3 linked regions of the Saccharomyces cerevisiae S288C genome follow. The gene in region 1 interacts genetically with each later gene. Each region holds a gene or a part of one and is shown in the gene's direction. Other genes may lie near its edges.

The links.
Region 2: mutations in ERV14 (region 1) and GRH1 together harm fitness more than expected from each alone (negative genetic interaction), as found in Saccharomyces cerevisiae (4 studies listed by BioGRID).
Region 3: mutations in ERV14 (region 1) and ARV1 together harm fitness more than expected from each alone (negative genetic interaction), as found in Saccharomyces cerevisiae (5 studies listed by BioGRID).

The regions. Positions count from the first base shown.
Region 1 is NC_001139.9:400,298-404,432, reverse strand, and holds ERV14 (cornichon family protein), read left to right. Parts: upstream 1-3,145; coding exon 3,146-3,562; downstream 3,563-4,135. Other genes in the region: DUP240 family protein MST27, read right to left, coding at 42-746; pheromone-regulated DUP240 family protein PRM8, read right to left, coding at 1,131-1,844. UniProt on the Saccharomyces cerevisiae protein: Could regulate export of the bud site and axial growth sites selection protein AXL2 and possibly other secretory proteins from the endoplasmic reticulum in COPII-coated vesicles. Seems to be required for axial budding pattern in haploid cells.
Region 2 is NC_001136.10:1,475,499-1,479,674, forward strand, and holds GRH1 (Grh1p), read left to right. Parts: upstream 1-1,740; coding exon 1,741-2,859; downstream 2,860-4,176. Other genes in the region: EMI2 (putative glucokinase), read right to left, coding at 1-978; protein disulfide isomerase EUG1, read left to right, coding at 3,110-4,176. UniProt on the Saccharomyces cerevisiae protein: Involved in the spindle assembly checkpoint. Involved in ER to Golgi vesicle-mediated transport by either facilitating USO1-dependent and -independent tethering or increasing target accuracy of fusion events of COPII-coated vesicles.
Region 3 is NC_001144.5:621,601-625,937, reverse strand, and holds ARV1 (sterol homeostasis protein ARV1), read left to right. Parts: upstream 1-2,054; coding exon 2,055-3,020; downstream 3,021-4,337. Other genes in the region: methionine aminopeptidase MAP1, read left to right, coding at 1-770; putative signal sequence-binding GTPase GPN3, read right to left, coding at 917-1,735; CSC1 (Csc1p), read right to left, coding at 3,117-4,337. UniProt on the Saccharomyces cerevisiae protein: Mediator of sterol homeostasis involved in sterol uptake, trafficking and distribution into membranes. Also regulates the sphingolipid metabolism. Required for growth during anaerobiosis and sterol uptake.

The DNA.
Region 1 (4,135 bases):
CTCTAGTTTATGTTCGCTTTACGTATGGCAGTGTCTCTAAGCTATTCCGTCTTTTTAAGAAGCGCATCGATATTGGGATGCCGCCTTCGCCAGTAATTTTCCTGAGCTTGTCGTTCGATCTCCGCTGCCTTGAGCAAAAAGTTTCGATAATTCAGTCTGGAACTAGGAGAAGCTGACTCGATGGCATCTTCAGGCTTAGCGGTGACCGGAGAATTGCCAATTGACGTGGCTGTTTGCTTCTTGGGGGTTACTCCCTCAACAAGGCGTAGAAAATAACGGTAGCAATCCTCATCGCTGTAAAAGTAATACGGAGTATGCCATTGCCCATGATTAAACAAATATTGGTTCATGTTGTATGTGATGATCCTCCATTCTTTCCCTTCTACTGCCGGTTTACGTGTGATGACATCCACTAAAAGCTCGGTCCTAAAATTTCGACGACTGACTAGCTTTGGATTACCATCACCTAATATTATTAACAATACTACAAGAGAAAGATAAGCGTAGTATGCAGAATTGAAAACACAAGCTTCGTTGTCATTAAAAAATATAATTAATAAAACCAAAACCCCTATTACCAGGGACAAAATCATGACTGGTGTATAGCGAGCGATTTCATAGATCCAATAACTCAAGTACGAACGGAATATGTCCTTAGGAAGAGCCACATTTTTCTCAATTAAATGTGCACTAGGTTCGTTGAGTGTATCTAACTTGACGTCGGTACTTTCTAGAGGGGTCTGCATGACCAATATATACCTTGTATCGTCTATGACTATAGTATTCCTGATTGTCTCTGTGCCATTGCATACTGATCAAATGTTTTAATAACGCAGGACCCTTTTCACGATTGTTTTTCATCTCTAGAGGCATTTTCAATATTGCATTTTGCGAAGTGATGTATAATGAAAATGTGGTAATAAGGCAGTGAGCTACTTTGTCACAACAAAGTACGAGAACAGATGAGGTTCCGTGGTGTTTTTGGGGCAACTGCATTATTTGGAGCGCCGTATATATTTATATCCTATTACAAAAAATCATAAATGACACTAAATTTGACACCTACTAGTGTCGTCAATCGAGAAGTAGATCCTTTGTCAAGTTGTGTGCTAGTGTCTCCCGTCTTCTGTCTAAAAAAACTCATCGACACCAGGATACTCTTGTCGCCAATATTCCTTTTGAAATTGTTGTTCGATTTCGGCTGCCTTGGTGAGGAGCTTTATAAAGTTCGGTCCGGCACTAAAACTAGAAGACTCAGCGGCTTCGTTTGGTGTGCCAGCGGTTTCGTCATTTGATTGTGCGTCTTTAACATTGCTGGCTGACGATTCCTTTTGCTTCTTGAAAGTTCTTCCCTTAATAAGACTTAGAAAATAACGGTGGCAATCTTCATCACGGTAAAAGTAGTAGGGAGTGTTCCATAAATCGTTATCAAATAAATACTGGTTCATCTTGTATGTAATTGTCCTCCATTCTTTCCCCTTTACCGTAGGTTTCCGTGTGATAATTTCCATCAGTAGCTTACATTTGAAATCTTCATCACTGATCTGTGGTCCAAACCTGAGTATTAGAACTATCACTAAAATGCCAGAGAATATGAGGAGAAACCCTACAGAAACCCCAACGCAATTTTCGTTATCATGAAAAAGAATAATTATTGAGATTAAAACCCCAATTACTAGAGACAAAAGCATGACCGGTGTACAGTGAGCTGCTTCATATATCCAATAACTCAAGTACGAATGGAATATGTCCTTAGGAAGAGCCACATTTTCCTCGATTAAATATGCACCGGGTTCGTCGAGAGAATCCGACTTGGCGTTGGTATTTTCTGAAGGGGTTTGCATGTTGAATTGATATCTTGTCTTGTGTAAGGTTATTATATGGTTTTGGAGGTTGTTATGCTGATTCGAATTACGACTTGATCTTGATACTAATTGAGCTTTGACGAAATATTTTAGCAATTCAGAACCCCTTTCATATTCTTTTTCTTCTTTTCATTTTTAGAGGCGTTATTTCACTAATAGGTACAGCCTCCGAAATAATACGTAATTGAAGATATGATAATAACAGTACGAGCCTTTTACAGGGCCATTATGATCATGAGTGAGATCCAGAAAAGCACATTGCATGGCAGTCGGATGTTGAGAATTGGGGGAATTTTGAGATAATTGTTGGGATTCCATTGTTGATAAAGGCTATAATATTAGGTATACCTAATATACTAGAAGTTCTCCTCGAGGATATAGGAATCCTCAAAATGGAATCTATATTTCTACATACTAATATCACGATTATTCCTCATTCCGTTTTATATGTTTCATTATCCTATTACATTATCAATCCTTGCACTTCAGCTTCCTCTAACATCGATGACAGCTTCTCATAACTTATGTCATCATCTTAACACCGTATATGATAATATATTGATAATATAACTATTAGTTGATAGACGATAGTGGATTTTTATTCCAACAATCTCAACATTCACCCATTTCTCACATTTATCTCAAAATCCACCCATTTCTCAATAATATATATGGTAAGTAACCAGTTGTCAAAACAGTTTATCAGATTAATTCACGGAATGTTACTTATCTTATATATTATATAAAATATGAATCATACTAAGTGGTGGAAGCGCGGAATCTCGGATCTAAACTAATTGTTCAGGCATTTATACTTTTGGGTAGTTCAGCTAGGGAAGGCCGGGTTTTATCTCATGTTGTTCGTTTTGATATAAGGTTGTTTCATATGTGTTGTATGAACGTTTAGGATGACGTATTGTCATACTGACATATCTCATTTTGAGATACAACATTTTCAGTTAATTTGTTTCCGATATAGTGTAACGGCTATCACATCACGCTTTCACCGTGGAGACCGGGGTTCGACTCCCCGTATCGGAGTATTTTTTTGAAAGTTTTTTTTCACGTTAGTTCCGTGAAGAAAATTTTTTTTCTTCATTTCGGAGAAAAAACAAGGAAGGAGAAAGATTTAAGAGTGATAGCTAGATCATGTATTCCTTAATACGAAGGAGAGACCTGGATTTTTCTCATATTATTATGTCTCACTGCCTACTTAACAAAGACATTTACCTTTGAACTGCAATTAAAGTAAAGTAAAAAAATTAAGAATAAAAAGAAAAATGGGTGCTTGGTTATTTATCCTTGCTGTTGTTGTCAACTGTATCAATTTGTTTGGCCAAGTGCATTTCACAATACTATACGCTGATTTAGAAGCTGACTATATCAATCCAATTGAATTATGTTCTAAAGTTAACAAGTTAATTACCCCTGAAGCCGCCTTGCATGGTGCTTTGTCATTACTATTCTTACTGAACGGTTACTGGTTTGTATTTTTATTGAACTTACCAGTTCTAGCTTACAATCTAAACAAGATCTACAATAAAGTTCAACTTTTGGATGCTACCGAAATATTCAGAACTTTAGGCAAACATAAAAGGGAGAGTTTCCTAAAGTTAGGTTTCCACTTATTGATGTTCTTCTTCTACTTGTACAGAATGATCATGGCTTTGATTGCTGAAAGTGGTGATGACTTCTAATCCAACAAGACATTGAAATCCAAAGAAGACTGAAGGGCCAAGAATAATAGACATACTTAATGGCCGCCCATAGATTGGAGGAAAACTGAAGATAAAAAAGATAAATACACAGAATGTATTAATTCGTGCTTCCCTTTTTTCCTTTTTTGCTTTTTTTCTCAATTGTCGGTGGGAGTTATCAATTTTTTTCGTTATTACCAGCATCTATTAAAGTAAAATACCGGTGAATATCGGTAAATAATAGGTTACTGTATAAATGTACATATAAATATTTGTATAGTTAGTATGCCATACAAAATAAAAAAAAAAAAAAAAAAAAACTAAAAGGTTGAGAACTTAAGGGTGAGCATGACTGTGAAATTTTGAAGAGATGCAGTAAGCCATCCCATATCTATTGCTCCAGGGCCCAGAAAAAAAAAATAAAAAATAGAACTTAAGTTGAAACTTAGTGCAAAAGATATATAATGAAAAAAGATAACCAAATCTGAATCTAAATGAAAATGAAAATTTCTATACATAAATAACGAAGAATAAAATACTAAAATGAAAAAAATAAATAAAAAAGGTAAATCG
Region 2 (4,176 bases), on another chromosome or scaffold:
AATTCTTTTTTCAAATAGATGGTAACCTGGATTTGGAGAAAATTTTTGGTCAATATCGATGTCATACTTTGTAGCAGACAAATGTTTCAATTCATTGTCGAAAGAACCCCATTCGATGTTGATGCACATTTGGGTTTTTCCTTCATGCAGCAGTCTTGTTCTGAGCTCATCTGGTAGCTTCTTGATGTTTTCAATATCCTCCATATAGCAACCGTTAGTACCAGTACCAAAGATACAACCAATGACAGGCTCGCTAATCTCACCAGCACTCGATGGACGAGAGCCTGAAGTGTAGCAGTGGGATAGGAAAGTGCCAACCGTGTCGTTGGTCAAAGCTACCACATTAATCATAGAGAGCCCCTGAATGTCTAATTGCTCCTGGTATAACCTCACGACATCCTTGCCGACCGTGTCTTCAATCTTGAAGCTTTTGGTCCATCTGATTAAAGTACCGGAACTCAAAGAGGTTTGGTCAACGGGATATGAGAAGGTAAATCCCATTTTCAAAGGTTTTATGTTCTCCCCCGTGGACTTCAACAACTCAGGATGATGCTTCCTAACGAAGGCCCTTGTACGGCGACCCAGGTAGCTAAACAGCTCCTCGCTGGTGACATCCTTGTCATTTAGATATTCTTCCGGAATCTTAGACTTCAATTGCTGCATATCAAAGGTTCCGTCACCATTCAAAGTCACAGAACACACTCTGAAGTGAGTCCCACCTAAATCTGCAGCCAGCAAAACACCACGTTCCGTCCCATTGGGCAAACTGGTTACATATGTAGGGATCATGGGTAGACCCTTGTCCACCGTCTTTTCTTCGCCTACAGAGGTGTTATTCAACCCCTTTTCCATACATTCAATGAAGTACGCTGTTAGTTCGTCCAACTTTGCTGCATCAACCTGCAATGAGGAGCAGATCTCAACCACTGCATCTTCCAATGCCTCAGCATTGACTTTATGTAAATTTTCAAATGACATTACTGTGTATCTATGATTCGATTCTTGTACAATTCTTCCTTGATACACTGATATCTGTTTCTATTTAAACTTCCTATAAGTATGAGACGTACAAAAGAACACGAGACAAGATGAGATTTTACACTTACACAGAATCGACTTTATATAATCCCGAATACATGTTTCCCCCCCCTGCATCGCAAGCATAATAGAATTCGACGACCCGATCTTCTTCCTCTGTCTTCCACACACACAAACACTAATTCACTCTCACTCTCTCACTTTCCCTTTCGACGACACACACAAAAAGACTTTCTGGATGCCCCGCGTTTTTTGTCACTTGATTCTTCGAACAAAGACGCAGGCAACTACCCCTGAAGGGCCCACCCGAAAGTAGTTGCTACTGCTCGTTGCGGTGGCTGCCAGAGTGGCGACGTAGCGTTGCGTTGTGGCTAACATTGGTGAGACAACCCGATTAAATTACTTAATGGGCTCTCCCACCGCCTTTGCACCCAGTGACAGCCATTTTGAAGATAGCATCGGGCTGGCTTCCAAATAAAATCTAGGTCGTTTCTATTAAGTTCGTTTCGTTATTTTTCTGTCTTCGCGGCGGACACGCAAGCCGACGACGACGAGGTTTAGTTGCATTTTGGCTATCATAAAAGAAATGGGCTTGTCGCAACGGGATCAGGACCAAGAACAGGGGTGCTGAGACTACTACTGTAACTGCGACCGACACAGCGTGCGAAACTAGGGAAGTAAAAAGGTATAGGAAGAAGAACTATGTTTAGAATAGCTAAAAACCTCGTACGGACTTTTGAGCAGAGCGTGCAAGATACCCTGGCACTCTCGCAGGACTCGAGCAATCTGGACGCTTTCTTTCAGTCTATACCACCAAATTTGTTGTCTGCTCAGTTGGAATCACCCGTAGATGCGGTTTCTGAAGGTGTTAAGCACACCAACGTCAATGAAACGCTTTCCGGTCTCCGCATTGTTTGGGTGGACGAGATGCAGTTCCAACTGCAGTCCTTTTTCGACTATATAGTAGGTTTCAATGATGATCCGGTGCCGGTGGTCAGTAATCAACACGGATTTTCGTACCCAGATTACCGTCGTATCACATCCATCTTCAATGAACACTGTGGCCGAACTTTGAAGGTCAACATATGGTCAGCTAAAGGAGGCACGTTCAGAGACGAGTATATCAGCATTATATCGAAGGAGAGCGACGATTTGGACGATGTTTCTCTAAACCATGACGAGAGGAGGCCATCTAGTGGGGAAGCGCACCAGTTCCAAGCACTCGGGTTCAAAGTCCAATGGACGCCTTTGATAGCTTCCACTTTCACATACCATATCCTGAACGTGAACATCCCAGATGGACCCGCCCAATCGGCAGGGCTCATCCCAGATGAAGACTACATTATCGGCTGCCAAGATGGCCTGTTGGCCACGGGAGGGGAGACGCTTTTACAAGATATTGTTAGATCAAGAGCAAACTACGATCTGGTCCTTTATGTCTACAACAAAGTTTCTGACTGTGTGAGACCAATCACAGTTCATATAGGTCCCGACGGCAGGTTGGGTTGCAACGTTGGATACGGGTTTCTTCACAGGATTCCAACAGTAAAGCACTGTCCACAACAAGCACAGCAGCAGGGGCAAGATGACAACCCTGTTCCTGTTCCTGTTCCAGTAGAATCTGAGACGGCTTTTGTGCCATCAGCATTCACAGCACCACCGGTGCCAACAAAGAAGAAATCAAAAAATAAAAAGGGTACCCAGCCATTGGCAATGGATGACTATTTTAATGAAGGCAGAGATAAGTCATCTACCGCTGCGAAGTCAGCAGAATCTGACATCCTCGCCCCACCACCACAAAAACAGTCATCCTCTGATTAACTTTCCTGGTTAGTCTTTTGGTTTTGTTTCATAGCAAAATTAAATATATATATATAAGCTTGCTTTCCCTTCAAAACACGTAAACGATAGTTGGCAATGTACGAAAAGTACCGAGACTTTTTTTCAAAGGCACGCGTGTCCTTTTTTGTTAAGACAATAGATATTTTAGCATTCAGAAAGTTTCAATTTCCAAGACTTGACGTTTCAATTATATGGCAATCTCCCAACAAGCACCCGCTCATATAATACCATGCAAGTGACCACAAGATTTATATCTGCGATAGTCTCGTTTTGCCTGTTTGCTTCTTTCACGTTGGCTGAAAACAGCGCAAGAGCTACGCCGGGATCAGATTTACTCGTTCTAACAGAGAAGAAATTTAAATCATTCATCGAATCTCATCCGTTAGTCCTCGTCGAGTTTTTTGCTCCATGGTGTTTGCATTCTCAGATCTTACGCCCTCACTTAGAAGAGGCCGCCTCTATTTTAAAGGAGCATAACGTCCCAGTTGTTCAAATTGATTGTGAGGCTAACAGTATGGTTTGCCTGCAACAAACTATAAATACCTACCCAACCTTGAAAATCTTTAAAAATGGTCGTATTTTTGATGGTCAAGTCTATCGCGGTGTCAAGATCACCGATGAAATCACTCAGTACATGATTCAGCTATACGAGGCTTCTGTCATTTATTTAAATTCCGAAGATGAAATCCAACCATACTTGGAAAATGCAACTTTACCAGTAGTAATAAACAGAGGCTTGACAGGCTTGAATGAAACGTATCAAGAAGTCGCACTGGACCTTGCTGAGGATTACGTCTTTTTATCCCTTCTAGATTCAGAAGATAAGTCATTATCAATCCACTTGCCAAACACTACAGAACCAATTCTGTTTGATGGAAATGTAGACTCTTTGGTCGGAAATTCCGTTGCTCTAACTCAGTGGTTAAAAGTGGTAATTTTACCTTACTTTACCGACATCGAACCTGATCTCTTCCCCAAGTACATTTCTAGCAATTTGCCGTTGGCTTACTTCTTTTATACTTCTGAGGAAGAATTGGAAGATTACACTGATCTTTTCACGCAGTTAGGTAAGGAAAATCGTGGCCAAATAAATTTCATTGCATTAAACTCTACAATGTTCCCACACCACGTTAGATTCCTAAATATGAGAGAACAGTTCCCATTATTTGCTATCCATAATATGATCAATAATCTGAAATATGGTTTACCACAACTACCAGAAGAAGAGTACGCGAAATTAGAAAAACCACAACCACTAGACAGAGATATGATCGTTCAGTTGGTAAAAGATTACCG
Region 3 (4,337 bases), on another chromosome or scaffold:
AAGATCAAATTAAGAAGATTAGAAAGGCATGTATGTTGGGTAGAGAAGTTCTTGATATTGCCGCTGCCCATGTCAGACCAGGCATCACTACAGATGAATTAGATGAAATCGTCCACAATGAAACAATTAAGAGAGGTGCCTACCCTTCCCCTCTTAATTATTACAACTTTCCTAAATCGCTTTGTACCTCTGTCAATGAAGTTATTTGTCACGGTGTGCCCGATAAAACTGTCTTGAAGGAAGGTGATATTGTCAATTTAGATGTTTCCTTATACTACCAAGGTTATCATGCAGACTTGAATGAGACATATTATGTCGGCGAAAACATTTCTAAGGAAGCTCTTAATACTACTGAGACCTCAAGAGAATGTTTGAAACTAGCCATTAAAATGTGTAAGCCAGGTACCACCTTCCAAGAGTTAGGTGATCATATTGAAAAACACGCTACCGAAAATAAGTGCAGTGTAGTAAGAACTTATTGTGGACATGGTGTTGGTGAATTTTTCCATTGTTCCCCAAATATTCCCCACTACGCCAAGAATAGAACACCTGGTGTTATGAAACCAGGTATGGTTTTCACCATCGAACCTATGATTAATGAAGGTACTTGGAAGGATATGACCTGGCCTGATGACTGGACTTCTACCACCCAAGACGGTAAACTGAGTGCTCAATTTGAACATACACTGTTGGTTACCGAACATGGTGTTGAAATCCTAACAGCCAGGAATAAGAAATCACCAGGTGGCCCAAGACAGAGAATTAAATAGATCTAGGTATTTTTATCTTATACATATAGAAACCAATAAAAAACTTGAACTTGTACTTTCCCGAGTCCGAATTGGTTATTATGAGAAGCTATTTTTTTTTTTTACCTCTTTTTATATGAATCAAGCGTACATAATTTTCTCTATAACTATTCTTCGACATCTATTTGGTCGTTAGGCTCTTTCTGTTCTTGTCCTTCTGCCCATTGTGTTATATCATCGACATACGATAATATGGTTTCTATACTGTCAGGATTATTAGATTCCAAAGGTAAAAATTGAACCATACCGAAATCATCGACGAGGTTGGCTATGCACTGGTTCAGTCTTAGAAATTTAGGGTTGGATGCTTGATTCATTCCTTCCGTTTCCATTAATAACATTGCATCGGGATTCAAAAATCTTTTCAGTTTTTTCTTATTGATGTCGCCTTTTATCAAGTCTAGTTTGCTCAACACATTGATATGGGGTAGTTCCAATAGAATCATCGCAGACATAGCAGATAGTGCACCGCTAAAAAATTTTGAGCTATCTATCACAAATGGCGCTTCCAAAAGATATGTGGCGCAAAGGTTGAAATTCAGTTGTTGAGTTAAATGGCGCACTATGTTCGGTAAGACAGGGATATGCGTGTAGAGTTCAATTTGACCGGGACAGTCAAAGATTAAATATTCATCGTTGAAATCCCCGATCTCTTCGTCAAGCCAGTCTAGATTTTTCAAAAGATATTCGAAGCAATATATTAGCGCACCATTGGGGCCCAAATCCATTTCTTCCATGACATCATCTAAGGAAATTAAATCTCTAATGTCAATAGTAAATTCATACTTGGTAGCTTCTGCGGCAGGGTCTAAATTTACAATATGAGCTCTTCGTCCTACAGTTTGCATATGTGATATAATGGAATTACAAAATGTGCTTTTCCCCGCACCTGCAGGTCCTAATACCATGACACCAACGCGAGACATTTTCCAATGCTGATTACTCTATTTGTACTTGTTAAGTTTTTTTCACGATCAGGATGACTTGCCAACCTCTTAATTATTGATCTTTCTTTTTTGATCTTTCACCTCATCATTTTAGATTTTTTGCAAAATTTTTCTTAGTATTTTTTCAGTTTAGGGACAGCGGGCCAAATTGAATAGCCCTATGTGAACAATTGATGATTCAGAAACATCAATGGCATAAATCAAGCTGAGAAATTCTTGTCATTGCATAGAAGGAAGGTTTGGTGCGTCAGTGAACGGATGAAGCGCATCAAAAAGTAGATATTAGCTGTGATAAACGATGATTTGCATAACGTGCATGCGGCCCGTAGATTCCCTTTATACAGTGTACTCGAATGACCACATTCAGCTGACAGATTGTCCATATTGCCAAGAGACAGTAGACAAATATGTTGAGATAGATAATGTCCTGTTATTCATTGATTTGCTTCTATTAAAAGCAGGTGCATATAGACACTTGGTATTCAATGCTTTGGAATTGCATCTCTCAAAATATCCGAAAAGAAAAGCGCTAAATGATTGCCAGTGTTTGCGTGACTATACGCAAGCTTTGTTATTTAACGTAAAGAACTGGTTTTGTAAATATGACCGGTTAAATCGCCTTTGGCTTCTACTATTATCATTCGAGATTTATTTAACTTGGGTTACTGAGGAGAGTAAATACATCTACTATTTGAACCGTAACAATAATGATGGTAAGCTCATCATGCTTTCAAAAAAATTACCAGAGAGCTTCAAATGGGACTCGGCAATCATGCGCAATACCATTACAAGTAAAGTGTTTACCTGGAGCCCACCAATACAATATCTTTACTTTGCAAGTTATTGTATTCTTGACGTTTCTTTATTCCACACCTTTACCCAGTATTTCATACTGAAAAAGTTGCATTGGAAGCACTATTCCGTTTCTTCAAAGGATGTCATATCATATACGATCTTATTATCGTACGGTGCCAAAATTTTTCCGATATTGATGTTGATATGGCCTTATGATACTCTAATTTCGATGAGTATCATTAAGTGGGTAGCTAATCTCTATATTATTGAATCGTTGAAGATTGTAACTAATCTTTCCTATTGGAATATCATAAAGATTTTTATAAGTGTGTCTTTATTACGATATTTCATGGTTAAGCCAATACTTATAGTTTTCGTGGCAAAGTTTAACTTTTCAGTTATTAAGAATTTAATACATCAGGAGTTTATACTACTACTACAGAAGTCAGGAACTTATTTATTGTTATAAGCAAATAAAAAAATATCCAGTATTACTTGTATCAAAAATCTTATTTTGGCATTTTCACAACAAAATATATAAATATAGAAATAGCACCTTGGGATTTCAATCCAACATCGGACCCTCTAATTCACTCACAGCGTAAGGGTATGCATACGACTCTTCCTCATTGGCAGAATTCACCGTAGAATTGTCTCTTTCGTACTCGCGAATTGAACTCAATGCGATATATTTTGACAACGGCAAATAGTTCTTCTCGAAATCATATAGGAAACATAATGTCACTACTGGAAGCGGGAAAAGGCAAGATGACAAAACCCATCCTCCTTCGAATCCTGCCAGTGTTCCTGTCATTGTTAATTGAAACAATAGCAATCCAACGATGATTCTTCTAAAAATTAATGGCCATACTTTTCCTGTAGAATGGGGCAAATGATCTGTGGCAAAAATCAATTGATATTTATAGACGTAAAACCCAATAATAAAGTACGCCAGCCCTGAAGTCAAAATTTTCGTGCTCATTACACTGTAGATCAACGTTATAATCAAAATCAGAATTGGCTGTGGTAATTGTAGTCCAAAGTTAAATATCGGTGGATTGTAAAGTTCATTCCGTTGCCTAGGTGTCTTAGCCTTGATTTTCACTAGAGGAAAGCCGATCAAACTACCAACTAATAACAACTTAAACGGGAACATACCAATACCTTGCAATATAATCAAATCGACATAGAATAAGGAGAACTCCTTCACAGATGTAGCAAGTTGATAAGCAATTTTGGTGGTATCGCTGAGGTACGCCCAGTAATTAGATGCTGTACCTGCCAATGTGAAAACTAAGAAAAGGTTGACAAAAATATAAAAGAAATTTTTTGAAACAAGTGAGATTTCCTCTTCGCTGTATGATACCAATCCTTGATAAGAAGTCAAATACTCGTAAAAATAGGGGATTCCAAAGTTAAGCAATGTGAAGAGATAGGTTGGTAATAGCCCCGTTACAATGTTAGCGGCCCACTGGTGATCTTTTAGTAGCTGCCCTACGCTTGGCCAGAATTTCGAAAGTGTTTTCAAATTTAGCAATGTGGCTAAGTATGATACAGGAATGACTAAAAACAAACTTGAAAGGCCTATAAATACGGTAGTAGAATAAACTTTTGTTAACCGGTCCTTTCTAGAAAGACAAACATGATCCCACTTGATATCGTGAGGTGCAGGAGCCAATCTGGTTATGAAGTAATGTACTCTAGGATCTAATACCGCCTGAGCTGCCATTTGCGCATTAGCAACAGAATCCATCGTAACGAATGCCGTAGGTGTTGCGGAGTAGTG